Linked DNA regions of Sus scrofa. The protein of the gene in region 4 purifies or fractionates together with the protein of the main gene of each other region. This does not show direct contact. Links are inferred from orthologs where the notes say so. Each region holds a gene or a part of one and is shown on either strand. Other genes may lie near its edges.

Region 1 (6,338 bases), on a different chromosome or scaffold from region 4:
ATCTTTTGCCTCCAGTTTTATTAAGAATTAATTAAGAAATAATTGACATATATCACTATACAAGTTTAAGATATTCAGCATGATGGTTTGATTTACATATACTGTGAAATGATTACCACACTAGATTCAGCTAACATCCATCTTCTCATACAGATACAATAAAAAGAAAGAAAAAATTTTCCTTTTGATAAGAACCCCGTAGGATTTACTCTCTTAACATCTTTCCTATACATTATACACCAGTGTTAGCCATAGTCACACTGTACATTACTTCCCTAGTACTTATTTATCTTATACCTGGAAGTTTGTCCCTTTTGAGCACCTTCCTCCTATTCTTCCCCCTCCAATCATCCACCTCTGATAACCACAAGTCTAATCTCTTTTCCTATGAGTTTGGGTTTTTTGTTTGTTTTTAGACTCCACATATAAGCAAAATCATACAGTATGTATCTTTCTCTGGCTTATTTCACTCCACATAATGCCTTCAAAGTACATCCATGCTGTCACAAAAAACAGGTTTTATAAAAGACAAAAACTACCAAAATAATCATGATTTGCATGCCTTATATAGAGTACATGTTGCCTGAATTCATCAACCAAGTTATTCAGTGGGAAAAGTTGGCTGGCTGTCCACAAGTTTTATCAACTTGTTCACTTCATGAGATATTTCCTGTAAATAAAAACATCAAGCAAGCGCCCACTCTTCATCACTATGGGTTTTACACACTTTTTAGCATCTCAGTGTTACTAATGTTACCTACTCACACTGAGTTAGCAAGAGTCTGTTTAACACACACACACACACACACACACACACACACACACACACACGTATATTTTTATATGGCTGCACCCATGGCATGTGGAAGTTCCCAGGCCAGGGATCAAACCCGCACCACAGCAGCAACCAGAGCCACAACAGTGCCAACTCGTCTAGGCCATCAGGGAACTCCAATTCAAAGTATTTTAATAGTAAATGTAAAACGTTCATCTTTTAATACATGAAAAAATTACAAAACTGGCTCAATCAGAATGACATCAACTAGCAAATTTTTTGCCAAAAAATGAATTTTAGTTTGATCTGTTGGTGTCAAATAAACAAAGGCCATTTATACAGTGCTACATAAATAACAGATATTAAGTGCTAGTCTGCTACAAGTAAAGTTCTAAAAGATGCAGTTATCTTCTGTGTACTTGGCAGCATCAACTCCTGTACTACCCTCAAATCTAGCTGTGCAGCTGGCCCAAGCCTGTAATTTTTCCCGATAGATGACAGAGCAACTATGGGAAGATAAACAGTACCTAAATGAATCTGTATTTTACTGATGTTTACTATTTTACAAATTAGGCATGAAACAAGTACTGATGTGATATTAAGAAGCGTGATTTGTTTTTATGAGTTCTCCCTACATAAGATGGCATGTATGAAACAACAAAATTAAGATTTTATTTATTTATTTTTATTTTTTGTCTTTTTAGGGCCACATCTGCGACACATGGAGGTTCCCAGGCTAGAGGTCGAATTGGAGCTGTAGCCCCTGGCCCATACCACATTCACAGGAACTCCAGATCTGAGCCACATCTGCGACCTACACCACAGCTCAAGGCAATGCCAGATCCTTAACCCAATGAGCAAGTCCAGGGATCGAACCTGGATCCTCATGGATGCTAGTCAGATTCATTTCCTCTGAGCCATGACGGGAACTCCCAAAATTAAGTTTTTTGTTTTTGGGTTTGTTTTTATTTTTTTTGCTTTTTAGGGCCACACCCGAAGCATATGGAGGTTCCCAGGCTAGGGGTCGAATTGGAGCTACAGCTGCCAGCCTACACCACAGCCATGCCAGATCCGAGCCCCACCTGTGACCTACACCACAGCTCATGGCAACGCTGGATCCCTAACCCACTGAGCGAGGCCGGGGATCTAGTCCACAACCTCGTGGCTCCTAGTCGGATTCCTTTCTGTTGTGCCACAACGGGAACTCCTTTTTTTTTTTTGGAAGATTTTAAATAGAACAATATTCCAGAAACTTATCATAGAACTATCTTAAAGCACTAGCACAGTTTCAGATCACATACAATGAAGATGACAGAACTTCAACTATCAGTGTTTTATTAGTCAGATAAGTGGGGCTATACCTGTCACCTGATAAAGCATCTGCCTTAGAAGTGCCAGTTGTGGCTCATCAGTAACAAACCTGACTAGTTTCCATGAGGATGAGGGTTTGATCCCTGGCCTCGCTCAGTGGGTTAAGGATCTGGACTTGCCATGTCTAGCTTGCACACATGGCTCAGATCTGGCATTGCTGTGGCAGTGGTGCAGGCCAACAGCTGCAGCTCCAACTAGATCCCTAGCCTGGGAATTTCCACATGCCGTGGGTGCAGCCCTAAAAAAAAAAAGACAAAAAAAAAAAAAAAAAAAAAAACAAACCATGCCTTCAGGGAACTGAATATGAAAATTTTACTTTGTTTATATTATAATGAAGTCTAATAACACAAAATCCCCATCACCAAAAAGAAACAGTATAAAATGTACACTATTAATGGCAGAGTGCCATTACTACATCTTCAAATGGCTTCATGCCAAATATAAGTCATAGGCTACTGGTTATATTCAGACTTGTGCTTGGGTGTGTATACATGTATTCATATTTACATGCAAATATAAATATGTAACAGTACTGTTGTAATTTCTGAAACTTACCCCCAAAACAGAAGCTAAATAAACGCTCATCCAAAGAAAAGGTTCCACTTCAAATAAGACACATAGAGGAATAAAGAGGCAACAAGAAACCAAAAGAAACTAATCCTTTTATGAGCAAGTGGTTGCTTTCAAAGATCATAAAGCAGAATGTTAAAAACTCCTAACTTAATTTGCTGAAGTTAATACAAGCTGTATTACAATATTACAAACTCAGTCCCTACCCTCAAACAGTAAGAATGACATAGTGATTCAAACATTTGTAGCCTAAACAAAACACTGAGGTTGTAATGTACTCTTGGACTTCACATAACTGGATTATCTAGTGAACTACTCAAAACAACAGTGTATATATCGAGAATACCTCACTAAAAAATATTTTTTATCAGATTACCTTATTTCTCAGGTATGCCTTTTACAGAGCTTTTATAGTATGGGGGTCAAGTGGTCCTTCCAAGCTCAAGTCTTAGGAAAAAAAAGTCACCTAAGTATTCTATCTTTTAAATTTCTTTGCCAAAAGTGATGGATCACCTGTTCTATGAGTATTTTTAGAGTAAGGTCAAGTGAGAGTGAGTCTTAGGATCACTTGTAGATGTTCTCAGGTTTAAAATGATCAAAAATCCTTGCCCTGAATGTCTTTATACAGAATTGAGGAGTGAAAAGACTTAGTCCTTGAAATTTTGTTTAAAATACGTCATAATAAAAAAAGTAAAGATAGACACATGAATCAAATACAGCAAACTGTTGACAATTAAACCTCATAATGGGTTTAACCCAACCCAAAGGATGGGTTTATGAGGTTCATTATCTACTCTATATTTTTGTATATGTTTATAAACTTTCAAATTAAAATTCAGAATAAAAAGCAATAATTTATTGGCCACTTGAGAATTCATTAATATACATATACAATCCTTACAGAAGTTGTAACTTTAGAAAAATTTAACAGGCCAAAATACTAAACAGAGGTTATACTAGGAACATAATAACCTGAGAGATTTCTCCATTCTTATATCCTACCTTTCATTACCTACACTCTCCTACACCTAAAATAAAGGATTTTTGGTTTTATAGTGGGGGGAGGTAATATATGTATATATACACACACATATGTATTAAACATCATTAAAATTAAAACAAAGGTTTGCTGTCAGGATTAAAATGGAACATTATGTTAGTTCTGAGAAATTAATGAGGTTAAAGGACTTACCTGCTCTTCTCTTTTCTGCTTACGTAACTGTAGTCCTTCTTCCTCCCTTCTCCTGCGCATCTCATCAGGATTCAGGGACTTATTTTTATAACTTTTCAGGCGAAAGTTCTCTTTTCCTGGGGTAGTCATGATTTCTACAAAAATAAGAGAAAGGGAGGGAACAGAAGAACTTAGCTTAACATAAAGAGCTCTGTTACTTTAATAGCTCGCCTTTTTTCTTTTTTTTTTTCTGTCCCACAGCACAAGGAGGTTCCCAGGCTAGGGGTCGAATCAAAGATACAGCTGTTGGCCTACACCACAGCCAAAGCAACACAGGATCTGAGCCATGTCTGTGACCTACACCAGATCCATAGGTTCCCAGGCTAGAGGTCGAACTGGAGCTGTAGCCACTGGCCTATACCACATCCACAATTCCAGATCTGAGCCATGTCTGCAACCTACACCACAGCTCACCGCAATGCCGGATCCTTAACCCACTGAGCGAGGCCAGGGACCGAACCCGCATCCTCATGGATACTGGTCAGGTTCGTTTACCGCTGAGCCACGACAGGAACTCCAATACTTCAGCTTTTTAAACATACAGATATACGTGCCCAGATCCCCCACACTGGAATGTCAAATGATTACTTCAACAGCTTTATTAAAGTGTACCATTAGTATGTTCACAATTATGTGCAACCATCACCACAGTTAATTTTTTTAACATTTTCACCACCTCAAAAGTGATCACTCCTATTCTTGATATTTTATATGAATAGAATTATGTGTGATCTTTTGAGCCTGGCTTTCTTCCACTTAGCATAATATTTTCAAAGCTCAACTATGTTGCAGCATATATTAGTACTTTATTCCCTTTTTTGGCTGAATACTATCCCATCATACATACATACTCTATTATACTTACCAACTCATCAAATGATGGACATTTGGATGCTTTCCACTTTTTGGCTATTATAAATAGTGCTTCCATAAATACATGTGGACAAGTTTTTATGCAGAAATGTTTTCATTTCTCTTGGGTATATAATTTATATACATTGTTTAATCATTTCAAGAACTGCCAAACCTTTTCCAAAATGGCTTCACCATTTTACATTCCCAACAGAAGTGTACCAAGGTTTGCCAACCATATCCTCACCAATACCTGCTATTGAAACTTTTTTTTAATTGAAGTATATATAGTTGATTTACAATAATGTGTTAGTTTCAGGTGTATAGCACCTTAACATGAGATCAAAAGTATAACAACCTTGTGATTCTAGCCAGTCTAGATGGCTAGATGTCTTTTAAAATATTTATTTGCCAACTACATATCCTCCATAAAAAAAGTCTATTCAGATTCTTTAACCATTTTAAAACTGGGTTATGTCTTTTTTTTACCATTGAGCTGTATGAATTCTTTATGTATTCTGCCAAATCTACAATTTGTTAATATTTTCTTCCCTTCTATAGGTTGTCTTTTTACTTTCTTGATGATGTACTTTGAAGCACAAAAGGTTTTAGAGTTTATTCTCTTACATTTAGGTTTGTCACCCATTTTGAGTTAATTTCTGTATATGATGTGAGGTAAGGGTCCAACTTCATTATTTTGCATATGACTACCAGTTGTTCCAGAACTATTTATTGAAAAGACTATTCTTTCTCCATTGAATGGTCTTGACGCCCTTTCTCAGACTCATTGGATCAGAGACACACAGTTTTCTCAACTTTCAATTCTATTCCATTGATCTGTATGTGTATCTTTATGCCAACTCCACACAATTCTGATTACCGTTTTTTCTTTTTAAAGCCACACCTGCAGCATATGGAAGTTTCCAGACTAGGGGTCAAAGTGGAGCTATAGGTGCAAGTCTACACCACAGCCACAGCAAAACTGGATCCGAGCCGCATCTGCAGCCTATACCACAGCTTGTGGCAATGTTAGATCCTTAATCCACTGAACAAGGACAGGGATCGAACCTTTATTCTCATGGACACTATACTGGGTCCTGCTAAGCCACAATGGGAACTCCCCGTTTATCATTTTTGTGGGAAGTTTTAAAAACAGGAAGTATAAGTCCTATTTATTCTTTTTCAAGATAGTTTTGGTTCATCTGGATGCACTACTATTTCACATAAATTTCAGAATCAACCTGTCAATTTCTACAAAGAAGTCAGCTGGGATTCCAATATGAACTGCACTGAACCTGCAGATCAATTTGGGGAGTACCAACACCTTAATGTTAAATCCTCCAACTCATGAAGACATAATTATTTTTTACTTAGAATTTTATTTAATTATTTTTATTTTTATTTTTTTGTCTTTTTGCCATTGTCTTGGGCCACTCCAGCGGCATATGGAGGTTCCCAGGCTAGGGGTCGAATCGGAGCTGTAGCCACCGGCCTATGCCAGAGCCAGAGCAACAGGGGATCAGAGCCGAGTCTGCGACC
Region 2 (5,906 bases), on a different chromosome or scaffold from region 4:
CATGACTGGCAAGTGCTCAAAAACAAGCAACTTATTTATCTCTAAAACGGAACCAAAAGGCTTTCTCAGTGAAAATTCATTCTGAACTCTTAACAGTAAGGTAGAATATTAGGTTTTTTTCCCTCTACCCCAGAACAGGTAGGTATTTTTGGCATGCAGCATATCAAAAATATGATCTGGAATTGAAACTGTAAAACAATAATCCTTTGAAAGAAAATTAGTTAATAAACATACCTGTCCTTCCACGGGAAACACAATCTGAACTTTAAACCCTGGACACACATTTTCAACCTAGTTTAATTCCAACACTCCATTTTGGCTTCATGGGAAATGGCTCAAAAGGAGGAGAGAACACAAACTGGTAAAGAAAAAAAGAAAAAGCCACTGGGGTACTTGGTATTTGTCAAGATACAACACAATCTGATTTAGAATCAAAGATACACACACACCCTTCAGGTCACATTTGTGGTAACACTCCTTACAGATTCTCAAACTAAAGATAAAAAGTCCAGCCCACATTAAACATTTTAAATCCTCATTTATAATAATTTGTTAAAAATAAATCTGATCCCATGGGGCAGAACTGCGCCGTTAAGACAGTGGGGATGAACAGGCAGGCGGGCCCGCCAGGGGCCGAGGGGCCCTCCCCTAACAACACACACGGCCTTGGATTTTACAGCGAAACCCACACACACTCGGGCCTTCATACTAATACGTGATTCAAGTGGAGACCAGCGAGTTCCTAGAACACTGAGTGATTTTAAGAAAAGATCACATTTTGTCGTAGGGTGTACACATCACATTTTCCCCGATAAATTTTCCCTTTAACAGTACAGTCTGAGCAGCAAGAATTTGCTGGGAATGTTAGTTAAAAAGAAAAAAAAAAGCAAGCAAGCCACACATACCCATTAAAAAGACAAGCAGGGCTTAAGAGGTAATCCAGTCCTGACTGCTAGAGGCCATTTCTGGTCGACTCCACATCACAGCAAAGGCAAACCCAACACCGCACAAAGCCTTCCTTCGTAAAGATGCCGCCACCGTGCGCCTGACTTTCGGGCAGGACCTGGGAGCATGTGCGGCTGAGCACGCGGCTCGGCTCGAAGGCGAAGGCGCCGAGTTTGTTCTGATTTCCTCCACTTTGTCACAGCTGCAGAGCCCTACTGTTCTAACAGTACCGACCACGTGGTCACTAAAAATCATCCACAACAAAACTCAATAGTCTCACTTCTAAAAAGTTAAAAGCAACAAGTGCCACTTCCTCCCGCGGCCTCACAACACGAAGGAGTTTAACCACATCCCCCAGTATATGGCGAGCACACCTCTCTCCACATGTGTCTGTCTATTCGAAGTCACGCACTGGGCTTCCAACTCTCCCAGGGCCATCAGGGAAACGAGAGGAGAACGCCGAGAGTCGCGAGATAAACGCGGCCCGCGTACCTTACCCCAAGTGTGTTCAGAGTAACGTATCTGACCGCAAGGAGGTTTTCCCGCCCCTTAACATCTGAAAATTACAGTTTTGTTTGTTTTAAGCAACTCTACCACCCAGTTACTTTGACTCTCCCAAGTCAGAAAATAAATCATGGCTGAAGATGAGCCTGTGGCAGTGCTACCAGCCCCCAGGCACAGACCCTGAGACTCAACTGAAACAAGATGCGCTGGTGCCAGCACCGAACGGCTCGAGAGGAATGAGAGTGGGCGTTGACAACCTTCAAATTCACATCAAGTTCACAGGTCCAGAGCCTTCAAAGAACACGAGCCTCAGTTACTGACAGCTGTGGAGAGGTGACACGGGCGTTCCTGGGCACAACCATGGCTCCCTTTCAGACGGACATGTGGCATACTCTACTTTTTTTTTTTTTTTTTGGTCTTTTTAGGGCTGCACATGCAGCATATGGAAGTTCCCAGGCTAGGGGTCCGCCACAGCCACAGCAACGCGGGATCCAAGCTGCGTCTGCGAGCTACACCACAGTTCACGGCAACGCCAGATCCTTAACCCACTGAGCAAGGCCAGGGATCGAACCTGCATCCTCACAGACACCAGTCAAGATTCATTTCCACTGAGCCATCACGGGGACTCCTGGATTACCTCACTCTTAAAAAAGTAAACGGAAATTTCAGGTACCAAATGCAAAATGCACTCCTGTCTAAAAGCTAAAAGCAACCTTTACACACACACTTTTCTCTCCCGTCACCTCACTGCCTATTTCCTGGGAAGTTCGCACGGCTCGTGTAACGAACGCCCCCGTGACATAACAAGCAGGTTTTAGATCCACGGGGTTCATCGTGGCACAAACACCCTTTTCCACTTGCTGCACAGCTTAGCCCTGACTCTCTAATAAGGGTTTACTGTCCTCTGTCTACAAACTACAGGCTACCAAGTTTGTGCTTTGCAACCTCGGTCCTGGCGATCCCCCAGCCCATTTGTCTCCAGGGGATACAGAAGGAAGAGCACCTCATGAATATGCCTACAAACCCACAGAACAAGCCACACATTTCCTTTGAAAAAGAAAAAGCAGTTCCAGAACCACAGCAAAGCAGCCTCTGGGGTTAAAGGCCAGCGTCTGCACAGAAAAGGCTGAGGACTCCAACGCTGAAGGCAGACACTTCAGCTGTAAAATAACACAATAAAATAAAGCAAAGAGGAACCGTCTCTGCCCCAGCAAGGCAGTTCGGTTCTCTCGGACACCCATCGGCCAGGGCCAGCAGAAACAAGAGCGCTCCCGGCAACTCCCTTCTGGACACGGGGCGGCAGCGAGCCCCAGCCCCTGGACCGGAAAGGCCTTTGGGAAATCTACTCGATACCCTGATTGCAGTTCATTATTAACAAATCACTGGTGATTAGTTTAATCAATGAACATTAAAAACCTTCCAAAAAATTTCTTTCAAATATATTTTACACATTAGATAGATAGCTTTTAAGAAGGGAGAATACAGTTTCTTGACAGGTAATATTAAAGGTTTTATTGGCCATATTTATCTTCCTCACAAAAGTTTTAAGTTATCTCTAAGTTCTAGAATGTCAAAGAAGAGAAGAAAACTAAGTTTAAAGGGCAGTGGGGAAGCAGCAACTTGGCAACAGCTCCTCAGGGGAAGCGTGTTCAGGAATCCTTCTTCTCCAGTAAAATTTTGTGCAACTCATCTGCGTCCTCGCTGGTTTTCACCCGAATTAACATGGTGACCGGGACGGAGGCGTTGGTGGCATCGATGGGTGGGTTCGGAATGAGCAGGACCAGCACGTTGTTCTTCCCCGTGCGGCTACACGGCATGTTGGGCGGAATCAGAACGTTGAGCAGGATGTTGCCTGCGGTTAAACACAGGAGAAAGGCCATCGGACTCTACCCGCCACACACACAGCTCCGTGAAACTGCGGCTTGAATTCGGATTCGGATGCAGCTCACACTTGATGGATCTAAAATGAGGAGCCATGGGAGTGGCATGGCTCCCTGACAGACACCAGCACAGTGTCCCCAAGAGGACCGTGAGGCGTCCGGCAGGACATGGACTCAGCCGCGGTGAGGAGCAGCCGCCTTTTGCCACCTCCCACCCCCCGTCTCCCACCGCCACACCAGCCCCCCCCCCCAGAACACACTGGGCCCCCCGGCCCCCAAGGAACAACCCGCTGGCCCGACGTGGCATCTTCACCATGTCACTTGAACACGGAGTGGTCACCACTCTGTGGTCTCTGCCACAGAGGCCAGCAGAGTTCATGGGGTGAGCGTGGCATTACTGTGACAGTGTCCCAAGAAGTTTCTTTCTGGGACCCAGTCGGGGCAGCACCACTGCTGAGGCCCCAGCCGAGGGGCGACCCCCTCCTCCCAGTGGGTAAAGCTGGACGGTGGGGTAAGAGCGGAGGGGAACAAGTTAATGATTATTTGCTACATAACAATGATTCCTTCCATTCTTCTTCAAGGTTAATCCTCCCTGAATGGTTACTAAATGATCCAATTTACCTACAGCTTCTTCGTCACAGTCCTAACACAAAGGAAAATGAACCACTTCGCTTACTTCTTGGCAACGGTTTTTAATACATCTCGGTTTTCTCACACACAGAGTACCCGGTAATGACCTGGTACTCAACTAAACCTATAAATGCTCAGCAGGTACAGGATGAATTTGTCCCGAACAATCTCCGTTTTGTTCCAAAAAACACATTAAGATTCCTGAAAATCTCAATGACTAGGAAAGGCTTTCACACAGTATGTGATTACGCTTGTTTGTGCCACCTGGGAAAAAAAAGTACCCACCTAAATTGGTTTCTGCGCGCACTAAAAGTTGTGTCTTCTGATTGGCTGTATGTTTTAAATGCAGAGTACCCACACCTTTCTCTTTAAATTCATTGTCTTTCTTGTAAAATAGTTTACACCTATGAAGAAAGATAACGGGTATGGTCAGACACGGTGACAAACCACGACAGTCAGTTTCAAAGGGCCCGCTCACACTCGTGGGAGCCTGGTACTCAGCGACGGCGGGGACGCTCAGGAGACTCTCCTTCTGACCCAGATCAGGTCTGGGCACAAGCCAGAGGAGAGAATCTGGTCAGACAGTCTAGAGTCCCTCCACGTTTTTTAAATTATTACACAGTGGGCCCTGAACAACTCTTTAATGACGCTTTCTGAAACTACCTTTTCTTAAAAGTCTGGAAATCGTGGCCAGGCACCCCCCTCCCTGATGTGCTCCTTTGGCCCTGAGTTCGAGAGCGCTGACCTGGCCTTTAGAGAACAGGAAGGAGTACAGGCCACTCCACGCTGCCCCTCCCCTTGCTGTTTCTTATTTTTGAATTCTCTGCAAGACTCTGATCTCCCAGGACACTGAAATGAGTCTGGAAAACACACTTAGGCAAGGCCTGCAGATAATGTAATCAAATATCTCCTCGGCCTCCAGTCACACATCTCTTAAGGTTATCAATAAAGCAAAACCTGGGAGTTCCCGTCGTGGCGCAGTGGTTAACGAATCCGACTAGGAACCATGAGGTTGCAGGTTCGGTCCCTGCCCTTGCTCAGTGGGTTAACGATCCGGCGTTGCCATGAGCTGTGGTGTAGGTTGCAGATGTGGCTCGGATCCCGCGTTGCTGTGGCTCTGGCGTAGGCCGGTGGCTACAGCTCCGATTCAACCCCTAGCCTGGGAACCTCCATATGCTGCGGGAGCGGCCCAAGAAATAGCAAAAAGACCAAAAAAAAAAAAAAAAAAAAAAAAAAGCAAAACCACTGCCTGCTCCTATTTTTTCTGATCAGAAAAAACTTAAGTCAGAGTCATTCCTTTACGGCATCATGTGTAATTAAACTTTTAAACAAACAAATGAATTGTTAGTCTATGAAAAGTTCTCAAAGACAGCCCCACTTAAGAATCCCACAGGTTTTGCTGATTTACTCTACAAAAACTGCTGACTCTTAAGTCTCTGATTTTTGTATTAGAAGTGGTGTAGGTCACAACTCTGGCTCGGATTCTTGGATGTGATCCCTGGCCCAGGAATTTCATGTGCCACGGGGCAGCCAAAAAAAGAAAAAAAGAAAAAGAAAAAAAAAAGCACTGATTTCATTTCATTGAGAGAGAATTTAAAAATGGCTCTTTGGCTTTCTTCTGGAAGCAGGAGCTCTCATTAAATAAGCAAACAACAAACAAACAAACAAAAAACCCCCAGCTTTCATCACTGGGGGAAGGAGAATTTATACACCCTTAATGGGAAGGAACGGCTGCCCTGCCTTATGTTTTGGCTGTGAGAAGATTCACCCGGGCCAACCGTGTGTCTCCAGGAAGGAACCAGAGGTGCCTCCTAATTTCAAAGCAGAAGTAAAACCAAATCTGAAGCCAGTGATGAGGGGATGTCTTTGTAGGGGAGGGAGAAGGGGAGAGAAGGAAGGAGAAAAAGGGAGAGAAAGATGAGGTGGGGCAGGTGGAGCAAAGAAATG
Region 3 (6,532 bases), on a different chromosome or scaffold from region 4:
CTGCCACATTCACTCCGAAGCCCATTCATCTCCTTCAGCACCCCAAAGATTAAGCACATATTCTGCTTAGCTATATAATAAAGTGGCAAACACGCTGCACCACTGACATCACAGGACAGTTGCCTATAAAACTAGACTTCTGACGCTGGGCTCCAGCTTTGTTTTCTCACAGGTCATCATCTTCATCCGGGAGAGCAGTTGTCTGAGCAACCTAAAGACAAGATATAAAAAAGCTGTAATACTCCAGAGGCAAACCATTAGGAATCTTTTACAGCATTACTAAAATGGAAGCATCCTACCTCTAGATCATGCTCATACTGTGCTGCCAAGGCTGGGTCCATGACCACCTCTGGCGGGGCAAGAGCAGGCATGGCGACAAACTCCAAGTTAGGGTCTCCGATCAGTTTCCTAGCAAGCCAGAGGAAGGGCTTTTCAAAGTTGTAGTTACTTTTTGCAGAAATGTCGTAGTACTGTTTAAAAGAGAAATAAAACTAATTGTAAAAACCCACATATTGGAACTTCCTTTGTGGCACAGCAGGTTCAATCCCTGGCCTTGGAACTTTAATATGCCAAAATAAATAAATAAAAAATCCATGTCAAAAACATTATGAATTACTTTAATGTTCCTGTATCATAATTTTACCCAAGGATCATAATTCAGAAATTTTAAGTTTTAAGAAATGTACCTGAAGGTTCTTCTTTCGGTGGAAGACAATCGATTTTGCCTTAACCTTTCTGTCCTTAATATCCACTTTGTTGCCACACAACACAATGGGGATGTTTTCACACACTCGTACCAGATCTCTATGCCAGTTAGGTACGTTCTTGTAAGTAACTCTCGATGTTACATCAAACATTATAATGGCACACTGAGCTGGAAAATGTACAGCAATTAGTACATACCAAGGAATTTACTACCCAAATGAAAAAAATGTTGAAAACTATGGACTCAGATTCATAATCTCAGGCCTAACTCTAATTTCTCTATTCAATTGCAAGGTCTATACCAATTCTAAAAATCTTAGACCATTTAAATATACATTATTTTAAATTCTCTTTTATTGTATGTGAAAGCATGAAAGACCAGCCTACCATATGAAATCTCTCCACCTGTAGTAATTCATCATAAACTCTGCCTCATTCAAAAAAAAAATACCCAATGTAGATTAACAATAAATTAGCATTCCAGAGAACTCACCTTCCACATATAGGATGTAAGAATCTATTCTTTAAAAGGTTCTTAAATAGATAAATACATGAGAATATATAGTGTGCCTGTTTTCAAAAGTTCAGTGAAGCCCGTATTTATTGTCTTATAGAACAGCCATAATAAGGCTGCTAAGCCACTAAGTAGGCACAGTGTATCACACAGATTTGTAGCTAAAAGATTTGGCTGGCGGGAATCCTTGCATTTGTATGTACCCAAGGAAAGCAAAAGACATGGAAAGATTCTCAACAATTTTCATCAAAAGAGAAAGATTCTAGGAAATAAGCATTCTTTATTCATCTTTTTTTCTTGGTATAAGCACTTATTTCCTTCCATTTTTTAAACCAAGCACTTTGAAATAAATATTCCACAAGACCTAGTACATTTAAAAAGAAATCAGCTGGTCCTATACAACATTTTATAAGACAGAAGACCTAGCTCCTCTGGTCCAGCATCTGCTCAAATGTTTACTACCTTTTCAATGGAGTGCACAAGAAATAATCGTTGAAATCACCAAAATATATATTCAAACACTCCCAAGTTTTCAAATACAGGAGCTCCAGTAACAGCTTGTCTGTGGCGTTTTAAGTTATGAGCCTGAACACAAACCATAGTTTCTTCCAAAACCGTGCCTATCATGACACAATCAAATGGCACATAACAAACTTCACAAAATTCTCTGCCCCTCAAATGATGGTCAAGTCCCTGAAGCCAGCACATCCTTTGGATCCAACTACCCGATTCCCAGTTCAGTCAGTACTATGCATGAGTCTACTGGACTAGATCGGATTATTTATAAGCAACCTTGGAGACCAACTCACAGATCCTCTCGAAAACTGTTGGTTACAAATCAAGCACCTACCTTGGATATAATAGCCATCTCTCAGTCCACCAAATTTCTCCTGACCAGCCGTATCCCATACATTGAACTTAATAGGTCCTCTGTTGGTATGGAACACAAGGGGATGGACCTCAACACCCAAGGTAGCTGAAACACAAGCACTTCCAGTTAGTCGCTGAACTCATCCATTTCGCACACATCTTCATCAATGGTTTTCCCCTACGTACCTACATACTTCTTCTCAAATTCACCAGTCAGATGACGTTTCACGAATGTAGTTTTCCCAGTACCACCATCACCAACCAATACAAGCTGTCGAAAGACATTTTTGAAATAAACACCAAGACACGCAACATTTCAGGATCTCAGAATTATGTAGTTAAGATTTTATGGACACCCATTGCACTTACATAACAGAACTTTAAATATCCCTTAAGTATATTTAAAACAAAGAATCTTAATGAAGCTGCCCTGTCCCATATTAATGAATGACTGGAGCCAATGAAACTTCCCTTGCCCAGCTTCCCTATCCGTAGGGTGGGGCCAGCACCCCCACCCCGTTATCGGGGGGCTGAAGGCCCTGCCGCGGCACGAACATGTTGGCAGACGAAGTGGGCCTTCGACACAGGTTTGCGGTCATAAAGGAGACCCTGTGAAACCCGTTTGGACAAGAGCCCCCCCCCCCCGCAGATCCCCTCCTCAGGTCCACAGCAGCAGATCCCCAACTCACGAGGATTACCTACTTTGAACTGAACTTGGGGCTCTCCTTGGGCAGCCATCGTGATGTTACTGCGAGAGAAGGAGAAAGAAGTGAGGCCCGCTGCACAGCGGCGCGGGCCGCATGGCCCGACCCGCCCCACGTGCCCGGGCCCACAAAGGCCTCCAACCCGGAGCCCCGCCGCCCACTCCCCCTCCCCCGACACCGCACGCGGGCGGCCGAGGGCGCGCCAATGGCGACGGCGGCGCTGCTCCTCAGCCGGGCTCCTCCGGCCGCCGGGGCCCGGCGCGCGCCCAGTCGGCGCGGAGGCCGGGCGAAAGGGAGGCTCGCTCGGCGCGGAGACCGGGGCGCGGAAAGCGCCTGGTCACGGTAGCACAACCAGGCCCAGCCGCCCCTGGCCCCCGCCAGGACCCTCCAGCCCGATCTCCCCTCCGCCTGGCCGCCCCGGGGACCCTCTCCGCCCGCCCGGCCCACTGCGGCCCGGGTTCCGGCGCCGGCCCGGGGCCTCCGCGGCCAGGAAAGAGAGCTTTCCACCTGACACCTAGGCCCCGCGAAACCACCTCCTCATGGCTGCCGCTAGCCACAGCCACCGGGACGCCCCGACCCCCCCATCCCCGCCTTGGCTCCTCGGCCTCCACCCTTGCCCCGCTACCTTCCAGAAGCGTCTCCGCGCCCGTCTGACTGAGGGCTAGAAAGATGGCGGAAGCGCAATTCAAATGCCCGGAGACGCAGACGACGCCGGCGCGCGCCGGGGGAGGGCGGGGCAACGGCGCCGCGCCGCTCCCACGTGGCCCGGCGCGCGCGCGCGCGCGCACACGCACACAGCACAGCTTTGGCGGCCGCACCCGTCGTCCAGGAGGGAGAGGCTCCCGGAGCCCCGGACGCGGGAGGCCCGGCGGTCGCGCGCACGCACGTCGGGCTGCCGGGCCACGTGCGCCAGCCTAGAGGGCGGGTTCCCGCGCGCGCATGCGCTGACAGCGACGCGGCGCGCCCTGTTGCCGCCGCGGGAACAGAGCTGGGAGGAGAGGGCCGAGGCCCCCTTGGGCGGGAAACTCGCGGGGTGGCCCACACAAAGCCTTTGACCCCCCCCCCCCTCGCAGCTGTACGAACGCGGCACCGCAGGCCCCGAGCGGGCGCCATGTTGGGGTGCGTGCTGCCCCACCCCCACCCACCGGTATTCTGGCCCCTGCCCTTGACCCTCACCCCCATCTCAGTAAGGACCTTCTGGAGAGTAAAAGAAGCAAAGACCAATGTCTTTCCCATCCTGAAATGCCAGTCACTTTTTTCTCTGAGCATCTAAGTGGTCAGCAGCCTTTGTGGCCCTATTCTGCAAACAGGATGATGCAATGTAGTGTTTCCACCTTGGCAGCTCTTCTGAGACAAACAGGCATGCAGTCATTGAGTATTTAGGTTCCAGTCATTGAGTATTTAGGTTCCAGACTCTTGTGAGGGTAAGGCTGTCAAGGGTCCAGACAAGAACTGTGCACTCATAGAACTTAATTCTCCAGGGCATATCCACCTGTGGCCATTGTCCAAGAGAGAAAATGAGGTACACCTCAAACTCAACAAGTGTTGGTTATTCCCATTCACTTGCTTTGAGCAAAGCCGTTGGCCAAACGGAGCCCTCCCACCTCACATCGTAAATCTAAAGGCCAGGTTTTGGCATTTGTCTGAACAGCCACAGATTCTCAAACTGATATGGTTTTGTTTGTCTTTTTGCCTTTTTCAGGGCCGCTCCCAACGCTTATGGAGATTCCCAGGCCAGGGGTCTACCAGGCCAGGGGTCTAATCGCAGCTGTAGATGCCCGCCTCCGCCACAGCCCCAGCAAAGCAGGATCCGAGCCACCTCTGCAACCTGCACCACAGCTAACGGCAACACCGGATCCTTAACCCACTGAGCAAGTCCAGGGATTGAAGCCACATCCTCATGGTTCCTAGTCTGATTCGTTAACCACTGAGCCACGACAAGGAACTCCTCAAACTGATATGTTGATCCCCTCTCCCCAAGCAAGCATATCAGGATAGCCAAGTTCCTCAAAAGATTCCACCTTGGGGACTCTTCTCAGAGCAAAGAGAACCCAAATGACCAAGGAGTTAGCCACATAGTCCTGAGCATACTTGCAGGCTAGTCTACTGGGAACTCGTGATATATTGGACACAGCACATCTGAGCACATGCCTGCTGCAAAGTCAAGTCTGAGGACTCCCTAGACACCCCCCACGAAAACATCAAGTAGAGCTGATGCCCCTGGTGAGAGTGTAAATTGGTTTGGCCTCTTGGGAGAGTAGAATGGAATAAAACACACATTAATGTCCATAGCTCATGACCATCTATTTCCATTTCTAGGGAGATGCCCTAGAGTTCAACTCACACATATGCCCAAGGAGATAAGTTATCCCAATGCTCCCTGCCATATGATAATAACAAAAGATTAATTTTATGTAAATGTCCATTGATAGGAAAATGTATAAATAAACTTATACTGTGAGTTTCCTGTACAGCTTTTTAAAATTTATTTATTTATTTTTTGTGTTTTTGTTTTTGTTTTTTTGCTATTTCTTTGGGCCGCTCCCGCGGCACATGGAGGTTCCCAGGCTAGGGGTCGAATCAGAGCTGTAGCCACCGGCCTACACCAGAGCCACAGCAACGTGGAATCCGAGCCGTGTCTTCGACCTACACCACAGCTCACAGCAACACCAGATGGTTAACCCACTGAGCAAGGGCAGGGACCAAACCCGCAACCTCATGGTTCCTAGTCGGATTCGTTAACCACTGCGCCATGACGGGAACTCCAGCTTTTTAAAATTTAAATTAAAAATTTTTTGGCTGTGCTTGCAGCATGTAGAAGTGCCAGGGCCAGGGATGCAACCCACACCACAGCACTGACAGGTCCATCCTGTACAGACAGCATTTAAGAAGAATGAATGGTGACGTTCCCATTGTGGCTCAGTGGTTAAGGAACCCAACAACTGTCCATGAGGTTCAGTCCCTTGCCTTGCTCAGTGGCTTAAGGATCTGGCATTGCTGTGGCTGTGGCTGTGGCCAGCAACTGCAGCTCTGATTTGACTTCTAGCCTAGGAACTGCCATGTGCCTGCTGCGACCCTAAAAAGACAAAAAATAAATAAATAAAACTCAGTATTTATTACTTCTATTTTTCCCAAACGTTAACACTGTTTACTTGATCATTTGCCTTTACCATCCTGGCTTTCTGTCTCTCAGTATGTATATGATATATATTTATGATTTCCTATATATTATATATATGATTTTTCCATATATCATATACACACAGACGCACACATGTTTTTTTTTGTTTGTTTGTTTTCTACTGCAATGTTTGAGAGTAAATAGCAAATAGGACACCCCTCTATGTGCATCACTTAAAACCAAGGACATTCTATTCTGTTATATAACCACTGCGCACTTAGCAAAATCAGGAAATTAACACAGTTACAATTCTATTATCTAGTCGACAGAATTTAATTGGCAGTTTTCTCCCTTCTGTCCTTATCTGGTGTGAGGTCCTCCAGGATTACATGTTACCATGACCTGTCCAGTGTCTCCAGTGTCATTTAATTAAGGACAGTACCTTCATTCTTGTCTTTCATGGCCTTGACCCTTTTGCTGAGTATTTAGAATGCCCCTGCACATGGGGTGTCTCATATTTCCTCAGGATTAGATTCAGCTTTTGCTGTTGGGGTTAGGACACTGCAGAAGTGGTGTGCTGTTCTTCTCAGTGCTTTTTATCGGGAGGCACTGAGCAGT
Region 4 (5,906 bases):
TGACACACCTATTTTGAAGCCTCCTTGATCTCCAAATTTAAAATTTCCAGTGTTTGTTAAAGTCTGAGAGGGTGCAGAAGAGGATGATGGGATACCGAATTTGAAGGATGAGGTTGCTGGGTTCAAAGATGAGGAAGATGTGCCAAAGCCTTCAAAAATATAAAGGAGACTGAATTAATATTAGCCTCTCAAAATGTAAACCTTGAAAAGTAAAGGGAGACAGTGATTACTCTGCAAAGTATTAGTAAACATGAACCGAACTACCCATACATTCAGCGGGAGAAGCACATCTTGATCTTGACAACCACACTGATGTGCTACTTTTCATCAGAATGGCAGAGATGCAACAAGTTTGATGAAAGAGTGTTGGTGACGAGACTAGGAATAATAGACACTTTAGACACTGCAGGTGGATGTGTAAATTAGCACAAAACTTGCAGGAGGCAACTTGTCAGTATTTACTCCTAATCACAAACTCATGTTGTGCCCTCTGACTCGGCAATTTTACAGCTGAGTATTTTTATGATAAACTACTAAATAGGATATGCAATCCAGACAGCTGTAAGTGATGAATGAAAAACAAACTCTGTCCAAGCTTCTTTGTGGTAAAGCCAAGGGTGAAGACAGTGTGGTATACATCCTTTTCTAACAAGGTAGACAGAAGCGAGAATATGGAGAAGTATATTTGGTTCTAATGTGCATAAAGCAACTCTGAACCAGTTACGAGAAGCTAACAACAAAGAGCTATTACCTTTGATGGGGGGAAGGATGGAAAACGAGCCAATGAGGACAAGAGACAGACATTTCACTGTGAATTCTGTCATAATCTGCTTAAGTCTTGTGAGTAAATGTGTTATTTATAAAAATTAAAAATTTTCACATTAGGAGTTCCCGTCGTGACACAGTGGTTAACGAATCCGACTAGGAACCATGAGGTTGTGGGTTCAATCCCCGCACTTGCTCAGTGGGTTAAGGATCCGTTGTTGCCGTGAGCTATGGTGTAGGCCAAAGACACGGCTCGGATCCCGAGTTGCTGTGGCTCTGGTGTGGGCCAGCAACAACAGCTCCAATTAGACCCCTAGCCTGGGAACCTCCATATGCCGCGGGAGCAGCCCTAGAAAAGGCTAGAAAAAGACCAAAAAAAAAAAAAAAAAAAAAAAAAATTTTTTTTTTTTTTTTTTCACTTCAAAGAAGCAGAATTAGGAGTTCCCGTCATGGCTCAGTGGTTAATGAACCCAACTAGCATCCATGAAGTCTCGGGTTGAATCCCTGGATCCAGCGTTGCCGTGAGCTGTGGTGTAGGTTGCAGATGCAGCTCAAATTCCATGTTGCTGTGGCTCTAGCGTAGGCTGGTGGCTACAGCTCCAATTGGACCCCTAGCCTGAGAACTTCCATGTGGCGCAGGTGCAGCCCTAAAATTAAAAAAAAAAAAAAAAGGACCAGAATTTTAGGAGTGGAAACAATATTTTAAAAGATAAAAATACTATTCTGACAAGATCAGTACCTTGGTTTCGGAATGCTTCTTTAGTGGAATAAACCAGAAATGAAGCACCTAAATGACCAGCTCAACACAGAAATCATTAAACAGTGCCAAGCTACTGATCCATCACTCTGCTCCCCCAGGTATAAATAAAGATAGTGACAGCCATTACCTACCTCACTTTCTTTTCCCTAAGAAATTTATTTGAAAAATTATGTCAGAATTTCAGGAGCAACTGGCCACCCACATGGTCTCTAAAATACCTTAAATGATATCAGACAGAAAGCTAAAAATCAAGGTGCCAAAGACATCTTAACTAGTTATCACCTCTGTCTCAAAAGGAGGATTTAACGGTATGGTAATTACTGTATTTACAGGCGGGAACATGGGAAAGGGACCTGAGCTAACAGCTACAGAAGGAGCTTTAGCGCTCTGCTAAAACCCAAATGCAGCGTTTTCTTTTTCTTTTTTTTTGTCTTTATCTTTTTAGGGCTGTACCCACGGCATATGGCGCTTCCCAGGCTAGGGGTCTAATCGGAGCTATAGCTGCCGGCCTACACCACAGCCACAGCAACACCAGTTCGGAGCCATGTCTGCCATCTACACCACAGCTCATGGCAACGCCAGATCCTTACTTAACCCACTGAACGAGGCCAGGGATCAAACCCACAACCTCATGGTACCCGGTTGGATTCGTTTGAGCTGCACTACAATAGGAAATCCAAATGCAGCATTTTCTAAGCCAGCTGTACCCCATCAGTCACGCAATTAATTCAGTGGGTACAACCAGCATCTTCCTTCTAAAATGAAAATGAATAGAAAATATACTTATCTTTACTGCTAACCAGCAAATGATTGGTTTTTATAGTAATTTAGAGATAGGAGCTAAGGTCCAGGACAATACCTCTTTTTACATGGATTTTTTTTTTTTTTTTGTCCTTTTAGGGCCTCGTTAAGGGTCAAATTGGAACTGTAGCTGCCGGCCTACTCCTCAGCCATAGCAAGATCCAAGCTGTGTCTTCGACCTACACCACAGCTCACAGCAACACCGGATCATAAACCCACTGATCGAGGCCAGGGATCGAACCTGCATCCTCGTGTCCGGCGTCCTCATGGTTATTAGTCTGGTTCGTTAGCGCTGAGCCATGGCAGGAACTCCTCATTTTACATGGATTTTCAATAAAGAACAAATCATTTTAAAACCAAAACTGTTTACCTATATTTCATTTTAAAGTTGTAACATAAAAAAGTGCTTTACTAAGACCTTACCTTTAAACTCAGACTTGGTGCCTGGTTTTGCACTTTCGCATGCTATACATTTGGTGGAATCTGCTTTATTCTCCACTAGGCACACATCACAGTTCCAGTTTCCCTCAGGTTTCTTAAACTTGTCCAATCCTAGGGAGCCTCCAGACAACACAGAGACAGGGACAGTGCTGCTACTTGAAGCAGGTACTGAACTTCCTAAAAAATAATGGAGAAATACAGGAAAATTCCTAATTTACATCATGTCAATATCTCAGTGACACCACCAAGTCTTAATTTCCATTCTTATTAGAGTTTATTAAGATAGAGAAAATGCCAGAAGTCTAAACATTACATTGTTAAAAACAATACAGACATCTCAGATTTCTTTTAATCTTATAAATGAGCAACTCACAAACCTTGTGCAATGATGAGCTCCCTCTTAACCCCAATTATGAAGAGCCAGGATTTTTAAAAATCATGCTCATATTTCAGAGCCTAAAAGACTCAATTCTCCTTAAGATTCATTATCAAATTTCACAGCATTATACAATGTAAGTTCCAAACTGTAGGCAACAGTCTAAAACATAAAATACAGAGCCTAGACCACATTCATTTCAAGATTGCCAAGGACAGGGCTCTGCTTTGAAATGACAATTTTGCATAGAAATGTTCTACTGGCCACTCTGCAATTCAACTCGATACTACTGACTACCGTCCACAGCATTTGTTATAAAGCAGCTATCTAACAGACATGAATTAATAAGCACCATAACGTTCTTAGGTTCTGGGGGCGGAGAGCAAGATGAACAAGATGTTGCTTAACTTCTAAAGGTGCTCATGGTCTAAAAAGGGGGAAGTAAAACAAACATAAATGCACAGTAGCACCATTACGGACAAAGAGTAACACATGATCTAAACAAGAGGACAAAGAGGAAAGGACTACAGGACAGGAGAAGGAGTCACAGAGCTGATATTTACATTTTTAAGCAGAACTAGCAACTGTGGGGGAGAGGCGGCAGCACAGGAAGGATGGCTCAGCGAGGCGCAGGTGCATGAAGAAATAGTGTCGAGAGCGGAGCCATTCATTCTGGTGCCCCCACTTCTCTAAATGTTCTCCAACTGTCGTCACTTTTCCCAGTTACCTGATCTGCCGTTTACTGGTATGTTCTTTTCCATCCTGCCAATAAAATCGTTCCATCTTTGGTCCACTGCCCTTCTCACAAGCTCTCCTCGACTCCGAACATTTTAATCACCAAACAAAACCATCTTCTGATCTGGACCTGCCACCCACTCTTCAGGTTTCCTCCCCGTGCTGTCCTCTTGTCGGTGGTTCCACTATCCCCCTGGTTACCCTGGCTAGATGGCAACTCTTCCCTTACCCTTACACATTCAATACATTTCATTCTTTTTCTGACCCTTCTCCTGCTATTTTGGTTTGAGCTCCCTCACCTCTTGCTTAATAGCCCTGTTTTTTGTTTCTTTTCTTTTTTTTTTAGGGTGGCGCTTGTGGCACATGGACGTTCCCAGGCAAGGGGTTGATTTGGAGCTGTGGCTATGGGCCTACACCACAGCCACAGAAACACTGGATCTGAGCCACATCTGTGACCCACCCCGCAGCTTGTGGCAACGCCGGATCCTTAACCCACGGAGGGAGGCCAGGGATCAAACCCACATCCTCACGCACACTACGTCAGGTTCTTTTTGTTCCCTTGAAATCCATCCTCTAAAAAGCACCAGTACCGTGTGGTTTTTGATTTTCCTCTCTGGTTACTCCTTTAAAAGATTAACTGTTCCAAAGTTTTATTCCTGCTACTCCCTTAAGTTAGCAGAGTTCTGTTTTAGGCTGTCTATTTGCTCTGCTCATTCACCTCACATCACCTCTACGCCCATGACTGACTTGAAAATTCTGGGCTAAGTCCTCCCGGATCTGTATCTCCAGCCCAGAGGGTCCAGCGTCAGTGTAACCAAAGGCTTCACACCTATCTGTCAACTTTAGCAGCTTGAAAGCAACCATGTCTCCAACTGCACATTATTCTACGGCCCCCTCTAATCCTTATTTGATTCCACTAGTACACATCACTAGGATCTTGACCTATATAACTGATATAACTTCCTAATCTGTCCTCTGGTCTCCAAATTTTGTTGCCTTCAAATCTATCCTCCAAAAAGCCACCGAGTGATTTACCAAAATTACAAGTTTGACCAGATCATTTTCTGCTTATAATGGTGGTTCAGCTAAAGGATGAAGTGGAAGTTTTTTCATATATATATGAGCTTCCTTTGTTTCTGTATAACAATTTCCTGACTCAGTTTTATTCTCCCATCAACTCAATTAATTTTGGTTTCTTGCATGCATCAGGGCTTTCTTTCTTTCTTTTTAAGGGGAGGAGGAGGAATACCAGATGGGAAGAGAAACCTATTTTAGAATAGAGATTCTGAAATCATTCTTGTGGAGAGGTCTAGGAGGAATTATGAATAAGGCTCACCCCTTGTATTAAGACAGGGGTCTGGGCTATTAACCCAAGAGTTTTCCGTTGCAGACACAAAACCACGCATCCATGAATGAGGCAATAAAAATAGGAAGTATAATTCCCAGGATACTCATAACATGTTTTATTTAGTATCCATGTTACTACATATCTATACCAAATAATTATATAAAAGCATTACAAAAACATCAAAAAGTCATTTCCAAATGAATTAAAGATCAATTTAAATCTTCAGTAACTCTTTCAAAATTGAACAGAGAAACAGAACTCAAACCTAATTCCATTTTTCTGGCTGCCTATTTTAAGATCATTGCAATATGTCTGGCACATGGGTGAATATTCAGCCACAGCCTTCTCATAAAGCAATACCATCTACCCTTTAATGAAACTGTCCCGGAAATGACCACCAGCCATCCTCACTTCTACTTCAAGGAAAAGAGACAAAGTAATATTTCATTCTGCATAAAGGTTTGAGAGAGACTGTCCCGTTCTAAGGCCTTTGCATCTATATTAGCCAACTTTGGAAATGATGGTTCCCATTCTAAGGCCTTTGCATCCATATTAGCCAACTTTGGAAATGATGGTGAAGAGCCCAAAGTTCCTGATAAAAGTGCATACAAAGAAGAGGTCAAAGCAAATGCTGGACTGATTAACACAAAGCCTATCCTAATAGGACATGCAGTTTCAGT
Region 5 (5,906 bases), on a different chromosome or scaffold from region 4:
AATTCCTATCAGGTTCCTTCCTTATTTTTCACTCTGCAGTTCATGGTCAGCATTTTCTTTCTACTCAGTGATAAAGAAACAAGAATCCCTTCACAGAGTGGGAGCAGGAGAAACACACTTGCTGCCAGGCGCTCCACTCCCACTTCTCTTTAGCTAATCCAAGGGAAAGGAATGTGTTTAACACGGCAGACAGGATCCAATGCCCCCAAACTAGCAATTTAAAATGTATTTCCGAGCCAGCAGATGAATTTCTCAAAGAATCTGGCCCTGCAACAGTTAGGAAAAATAACTCAGTATGTTATTGTCACTGTGTAATTTCACTTACAGACAGGGAGGTCCCATCGTGGCTCAGTGGAAAAGAATCTGGCTAGCATCTGTAAGGACGCAGCTTCAATCCCTGGCCTCACTCAGTGGGTTAAAGGATCCAGCACTGATATGAGCTGTTGTGTATGCTGAAGACACAGCTTGGATCTGGTGTTGCTGTGACTGTGGCATAGGCTGGCAGCTAGAGCTCTGATTCGACCCCTAGCCTGGGAACCTCCATATGATGCAGGTGCAGCCCTAAAAAGACAAAAACCAAAAACAAAAAAAAACTTACAGACAGATATCTTACCTGAAAAGGTGGATTATACTGAGTGACTTCTACAGTTACTGCATCTGACATTTGGTAGCCATTATCTTCCACTGCTATCAGAGAGTAATAGACGAGACATGGATTGTCTGCTAGGTGCCATGCCGCAGCCAAAATCAGAAGTCCATCACTAATCAGTGAAAAAGAAAGATCTACTGCCTCTTCAGAAAACAGCCTAGCAATTTCTTACAGTTAAATATGCACTTACCATGTAACCTAGCAAACCCACTCCTAGAAGTTTACCCAAGAGAAATAAAAACATGTGTTCACACAAAAAAATCAGTGTGCAAAAGTTTCTAGTGGCTTTACTTATAATTGCATAAAACTGGAAACAACTCAATAGCCTTCAACTGCTGAACAGATAAACAAACCCTGGTAAACCTATGCAATGGACTACTACTCAGCAGTAAAAATGAAGGAAGCACTGAATAAGCAGCAGGTGCATTATGCTACATGAAAGAAGCCAGACTCAAAAGGCTTCATAACATATGGTTCCATGTATAGTACAGGGTCAAGAAACACATCAGTGGTTGCCAGGAGCTGAAAGTGGAGAAGGGAGGGGTTGATTACAAAGGAATTTTTCGAGTGATAGGACTATTCTGTATCTTGACTGGTTACAATTAACTGACTATGCATCTGTCAAAACTCACTGAATTATACACTAAAAAGGGTGGAAAATATTTACTGTATGTAAAATGTAACTCAATAAATCTGACTTAAAAAAAGATCAACAAGTCATTAAACACAGGGACGGGCAAAGCACAGCTCTCAGGCCAATCTAAGCCCAGGTGAGTTTCCATAAATGAGGCTTTCATGTATATGTGAAAACAAACTTTTTTCATCTTAAGATTTATATGGTCCTCTTAAGTCTATCAAAGTTGTTGCCCCAAAAAAGAATTAAATGGTCTCTAATCTCAAACCTTCTACAATATTTAGTACATTTTTTAGCAGCTTTCATTCAAGTCTCAGAAATATTAAAAGGGTGGCAAGCACCCTCTACTAACAACTAAAAATACTAAACCAAGCTAAAGACTAAACGACACTCCACTTCAAATCAACACAGTGGGTAAGACAGCTCTAATTAAGCACAGAAAAACAAGGAGCTCCAGCTGTAACAGCAGAAAAGCTGCATCCCTAGCTAGGGCAGACAGCTAATGTGACACACAGCTGAAGGCTGCCAAGCACCTAGACTTCTTAAATGAATTAGCATCATTAGATAACACCAAACCATTTAGTAAGGCATCACACTATAAGGTTAGCATTAGAGGCACTAGAAGAACAGAGAGCAAGACTGATCATCATTTTATAGTAAAGATCAACTTATTTCTCCAAACAACTACCATGTTCTTTATGACAAATGAATTGCTTACCAGTTTTGCCTCAAATCCAAATACCGAATGTTGACCCCTTCTTTAATAGCTTCATAGTTACTTTCAGATCCCTAGATGAAAACATCAGTAATGTAAGCTACTGGAGTACAGGAATCATTTCTTTCCACTTTATATCCTCAGCACTGAGTAAAGTGCCTCAGCCACAGTAGTTCAAACTGTTACTGAATGAATACTGCATGCATTTTAAAAATTAAGTGCATCAATGAATGCCAATATCTAAAGACTGAATACTCCATTTCTGCTTATGTGATGGCTAAAACTTTACAATTGTGAATTAGAAACAAATGCTACTATTCCTTACCCAAATAGCATCTATAATGTTTTCCTTCAGGACTCTATTTATATCCCAACTATGTACTTGTTTTTCTGAAGAATCATCTAATTCCCATTTACTGATGTTTGAACTTGTCAGGCTATAAAAGCTTGATCTCTCTCTATCCCAAAGGACACTTGAAAGCTGTATGGAGAGAAGAAAAAAGTTTATAGGTTATTAAGTTCTAATGTTAATGAACTATTTCTCTGAAACTCAAACTTAGTGTATTTTATAACTACTTGATTAGTAATCCTAAAACAGAATTCTTCATTTAGGACTCAAAGGAAGGAGTGATCCTAAAATAGACCTTGAAAGGAAGGAAGATTTCCATAGGCAGAAATATAAAGGCAGAAGGTCCATGAAGAGCAGGGTTGGAGGTGGGAAAGTCACAGGGTAGTGAGCAAGCAGTGATCCTGCTAAACTGAAATGCAGATTATAACTAGGAAAGAAGCAAAAATGGGGTTTAGCGAAAAACCAGGGACACAGAGCAGAGGCTCAAGTGGGAGTTTGTGAACCTAGTAAGCAAGGGTGATAATACTAATGGCTTTTGAGTGCAAGAGATGCGACATAGGAAAGGGAACCTGGCAGGTACGTGTGTAGTTATACATAGGTGTGTTACTTTTAAGTATATACTTGCTTCTGCAGTAGAGATGTGTTTCTTTTCGTTGGGTACACATGACTGTTTTGAGTTAAAACCCTAAATGTCTCCACTTCTCCTGCTACTATGACTCTGGCCACTAATGGGATAGGAGGTGCTCCCAGGGAATAAAGTGGGCTGGCACCAGGAGTTTAGGGGAAATCTACCAACAGTGTGGACTAGGGCATAACAACAGAAGCAGGAAGATGGAGCTGCAATGAAATGTGGGAGAAGTAAAAACCTAGAGTACCTCGTAGATCATCGCTCCAGGAGAGGAGACACCAAAAAAAAAAAAAAAAAAAAGAAATCATAGTTTTATACCTGGGTCTCCAAAAAGAGTGATGGTGCCCTCAGAAATAGAGAAGTCAAAAGAGAAATGAGCTCTGTATGTTAACTTGTAGTCAGTTGGAAAGAAGAGAATAGGAGGAATTTGTTTTTAGACATTAAGCTTTGGGTTTAAAGACAATTTAAGGAAGCAGATGATGACAGCAAACTGAAAACAGAGGGAACAGCACAGTCAAAAAAAAGCTTTCAATTCCAAAAGGCCTGGACATGAGTCTACTGAGTGGTCTGTAGCCTCACTGAGGCCATGTCCTCAGTCCTCACCCACAAATCAAAGATAAAGCTCTCTACACTACAGGCCACTAGTAATCACACGAGACAGCAAGCACAGAGCACCTGGCTCACACCTGGAGCAGGTGCCCCACACCTGTTCCTTCCCATCATCCTCCTTCCATTCCTTGGGAAACTGAGGCAGAAGCCCTGCCAACACAGACCTGGGTCACCCACGCAGACAGCTAGAGGAGATGGAGTGGAGAACACACTTTTGGTAAAGTCTAGAAAGCAAAACTAGACATTTATAATTTTACATTGTAGTTTTAACTTAAAGAATGTACCTCCAAGATAATCTGTGTGATTTAAGAATATTAATGTTAGAGGGTATGCAAGAGGGTTAGTATGAACTCATTTGATCATCATTTCCACTTCACTGGAAAAATCAAAGGCTCCATCTCATGTACATCACTGGTCAGAGAGAGGCAATACAAACTTCACAGGAAACTTACTGATTTCACTAAGAAAGACACTTGTAAGACAAGAGTTCTTTCGTCAACTTACTAGGAGATCACTACTAGGAGACAAAATTCCCAAAAGAGAAGAAACCTTCCGACCAATTCCTGAAAGCACGCCTTGCCCTTGAGGCAGGATATGCTGGTGGATCTTTCCTAAACTTTCAGGGATCAGACGAATTTGCTGGCCTCCTGAAGAGGACAAGATAAAACTTCCTCCCTGTGAACAAATATCATGGAATTAGTTCAGTTAGGCATTTAAGACTAAGAAAAGAAAATTAACGGAAATTGTTCTTATAACTAGGAAAATCATCTGTACGTTAAGTCCAAAAGAACACTGTTGTTTTATTAAAATAACTTACTTATGAATCCATTCACTTACTATTATTAATTCTACACAGAAAAACTTTGTTGAAGTTTTTTTGATTACAAGTTTCTTAAATTCTGACTTTTAAGCTATAAGTTCACCATAAGGTAGGTTCAACGAATCAAGCATCAGATTCTATTTCTTTAGTAAACCTGCAGAGTATGTATTAACAAACCACTCCTCATGTCAAAATTTCTAAGTCACTCCCATAAGGTGTTTCTGAAAGAAATGAAAACCACCGGCTACTATGCACTACTGATATTTCAGAGACCCATGAGCATGGCTTCCCCTTGTCTAAGCATTCAAATCCTAGATCCTTACCTTTCTTGCTTTTTTACTCCCACCAGCCCCACAGGCCTGTGTGATCTGTTCAAATCCCCCTTAGAGGCCTCATCATGGCTTTCCAGTAAATGTAAAAGAATGCCCATCATATACCTGCACGGCTGTTAGGAAGCTGTAAGTCTTATCCCCTCCTGAGTCCACGGTCGTCTCTGTGTAGGTGTCCTCACTAGCAAGGCTTGGCCAGTAGCGGATGGATCCTTCTCTGGTGGCCACCATGACAGCAACAGCCTCAAAACAAGATCTCGAACTCAACAATCACAAGAAAAGAAGGACCCCAAATTGGAAGTCTGACAACACCAATGTAAAGAAAACAGGATGACGTACTACTAATTACCAGAAATCAGAAATAAAAACTCCTTTTCTTTGTTAATTATCATACAGTAAAATCGATGTTTCTGCCCTTTAGTTTCACGATTCTGCAAATTTTTCTTTTTTGGCCACACCAAGGCATATGGAAATTCCCAGGCCAGGGACTGAATCTGAGCCGCAGCTGTGATCTACACCACAGCTGAGGCAACACCAGATCCTTAACCCACTGCATGGGGCCAAGGATAGTATCTGCACCTCCAGAGCAACCTGAGCCACCACATTCGGATCCCTAACCCACTGGGCCACAGGGGGAACTCCTCACAGATCTATGGATTTTACAACACAGATAGACCCATAACTACCACTATGGTGAGGATACAGAGCAGTTCCACCAGCACCCAGAACTCCTTGATGCTTTCCCTATAGTCACACCTTCCCATCCTAACCCCTGGCCATCACTACTTCCATCATCCTTGTCCTATCTTTCTGAGGATGCCAAACCAACCCATACAGAATATAACCTTCTGACACTGGCTTATCTCACTGAGCATGATGTCGCTGAGATTTATCCAGGCTGTAGATAATCAACAGCTCATACCTCTTCAGTGTCATCCACACTACAGACAAATCAGTTCATCCATCCATTCACTTGCTAAAGGATGTCTGGATTGCTTCCACCTTTGCCCATCACAAGTAAAGCTGCTATGACATGAGTGTACTATTTCTGCATGAACATAAGCTTTAATGTCCCTAGAATAAATGGCCAGGAATGGAATTGCTGGGTCATATGGCAAGGCAAGCATATTTTAACTGTGTAAGAAAGAGAAAATCAAGTGGTTGCACCATTCT

What was found.
Region 1: the proteins of NUP153 (region 4) and KPNA1 purify together in Homo sapiens (affinity purification with mass spectrometry; 3 studies listed by BioGRID and IntAct, with this or other methods). This does not show direct contact. The link is inferred for Sus scrofa from reciprocal best matches to the Homo sapiens genes NUP153 and KPNA1.
Region 2: the proteins of NUP153 (region 4) and NUP50 purify together in Homo sapiens (affinity purification with mass spectrometry; 8 studies listed by BioGRID and IntAct, counting the BioPlex papers as one, with this or other methods). This does not show direct contact. The link is inferred for Sus scrofa from reciprocal best matches to the Homo sapiens genes NUP153 and NUP50.
Region 3: the proteins of NUP153 (region 4) and RAN purify together in Homo sapiens (affinity purification with mass spectrometry; 5 studies listed by BioGRID and IntAct, counting the BioPlex papers as one, with this or other methods). This does not show direct contact. The link is inferred for Sus scrofa from reciprocal best matches to the Homo sapiens genes NUP153 and RAN.
Region 5: the proteins of NUP153 (region 4) and NUP133 purify together in Homo sapiens (co-immunoprecipitation; 3 studies listed by BioGRID and IntAct, with this or other methods). This does not show direct contact. The link is inferred for Sus scrofa from reciprocal best matches to the Homo sapiens genes NUP153 and NUP133.

Annotation. Positions count from the first base shown.
Region 1 is NC_010455.5:138,042,787-138,049,124, reverse strand, and holds the start of KPNA1 (importin subunit alpha-5), read right to left. Parts: upstream 4,043-6,338; 5' UTR 4,038-4,042; coding exon 3,909-4,037; intron 1-3,908. UniProt on the Homo sapiens protein: Functions in nuclear protein import as an adapter protein for nuclear receptor KPNB1. Binds specifically and directly to substrates containing either a simple or bipartite NLS motif.
Region 2 is NC_010447.5:4,198,019-4,203,924, forward strand, and holds part of NUP50 (nuclear pore complex protein Nup50), read right to left. Parts: intron 4,364-5,906; coding exon 4,245-4,363; intron 3,302-4,244; coding exon 3,099-3,301; 3' UTR 1-3,098. UniProt on the Homo sapiens protein: Component of the nuclear pore complex that has a direct role in nuclear protein import. Actively displaces NLSs from importin-alpha, and facilitates disassembly of the importin-alpha:beta-cargo complex and importin recycling.
Region 3 is NC_010456.5:24,314,345-24,320,876, forward strand, and holds the start of RAN (GTP-binding nuclear protein Ran), read right to left. Parts: upstream 3,681-6,532; 5' UTR 3,419-3,680; intron 2,838-3,418; 5' UTR 2,828-2,837; coding exon 2,792-2,827; intron 2,361-2,791; coding exon 2,276-2,360; intron 2,196-2,275; coding exon 2,070-2,195; intron 875-2,069; coding exon 687-874; intron 471-686; coding exon 300-470; intron 212-299; coding exon 167-211; 3' UTR 1-166. UniProt on the Homo sapiens protein: GTPase involved in nucleocytoplasmic transport, participating both to the import and the export from the nucleus of proteins and RNAs. Switches between a cytoplasmic GDP- and a nuclear GTP-bound state by nucleotide exchange and GTP hydrolysis.
Region 4 is NC_010449.5:13,409,780-13,415,685, forward strand, and holds part of NUP153 (nuclear pore complex protein Nup153), read right to left. Parts: intron 2,945-5,906; coding exon 2,750-2,944; intron 150-2,749; coding exon 1-149. UniProt on the Homo sapiens protein: Component of the nuclear pore complex (NPC), a complex required for the trafficking across the nuclear envelope. Functions as a scaffolding element in the nuclear phase of the NPC essential for normal nucleocytoplasmic transport of proteins and mRNAs.
Region 5 is NC_010456.5:60,361,854-60,367,759, reverse strand, and holds part of NUP133 (nuclear pore complex protein Nup133), read right to left. Parts: intron 4,977-5,906; coding exon 4,842-4,976; intron 4,260-4,841; coding exon 4,089-4,259; intron 2,480-4,088; coding exon 2,324-2,479; intron 2,073-2,323; coding exon 2,002-2,072; intron 762-2,001; coding exon 614-761; intron 1-613. UniProt on the Homo sapiens protein: Involved in poly(A)+ RNA transport. Involved in nephrogenesis.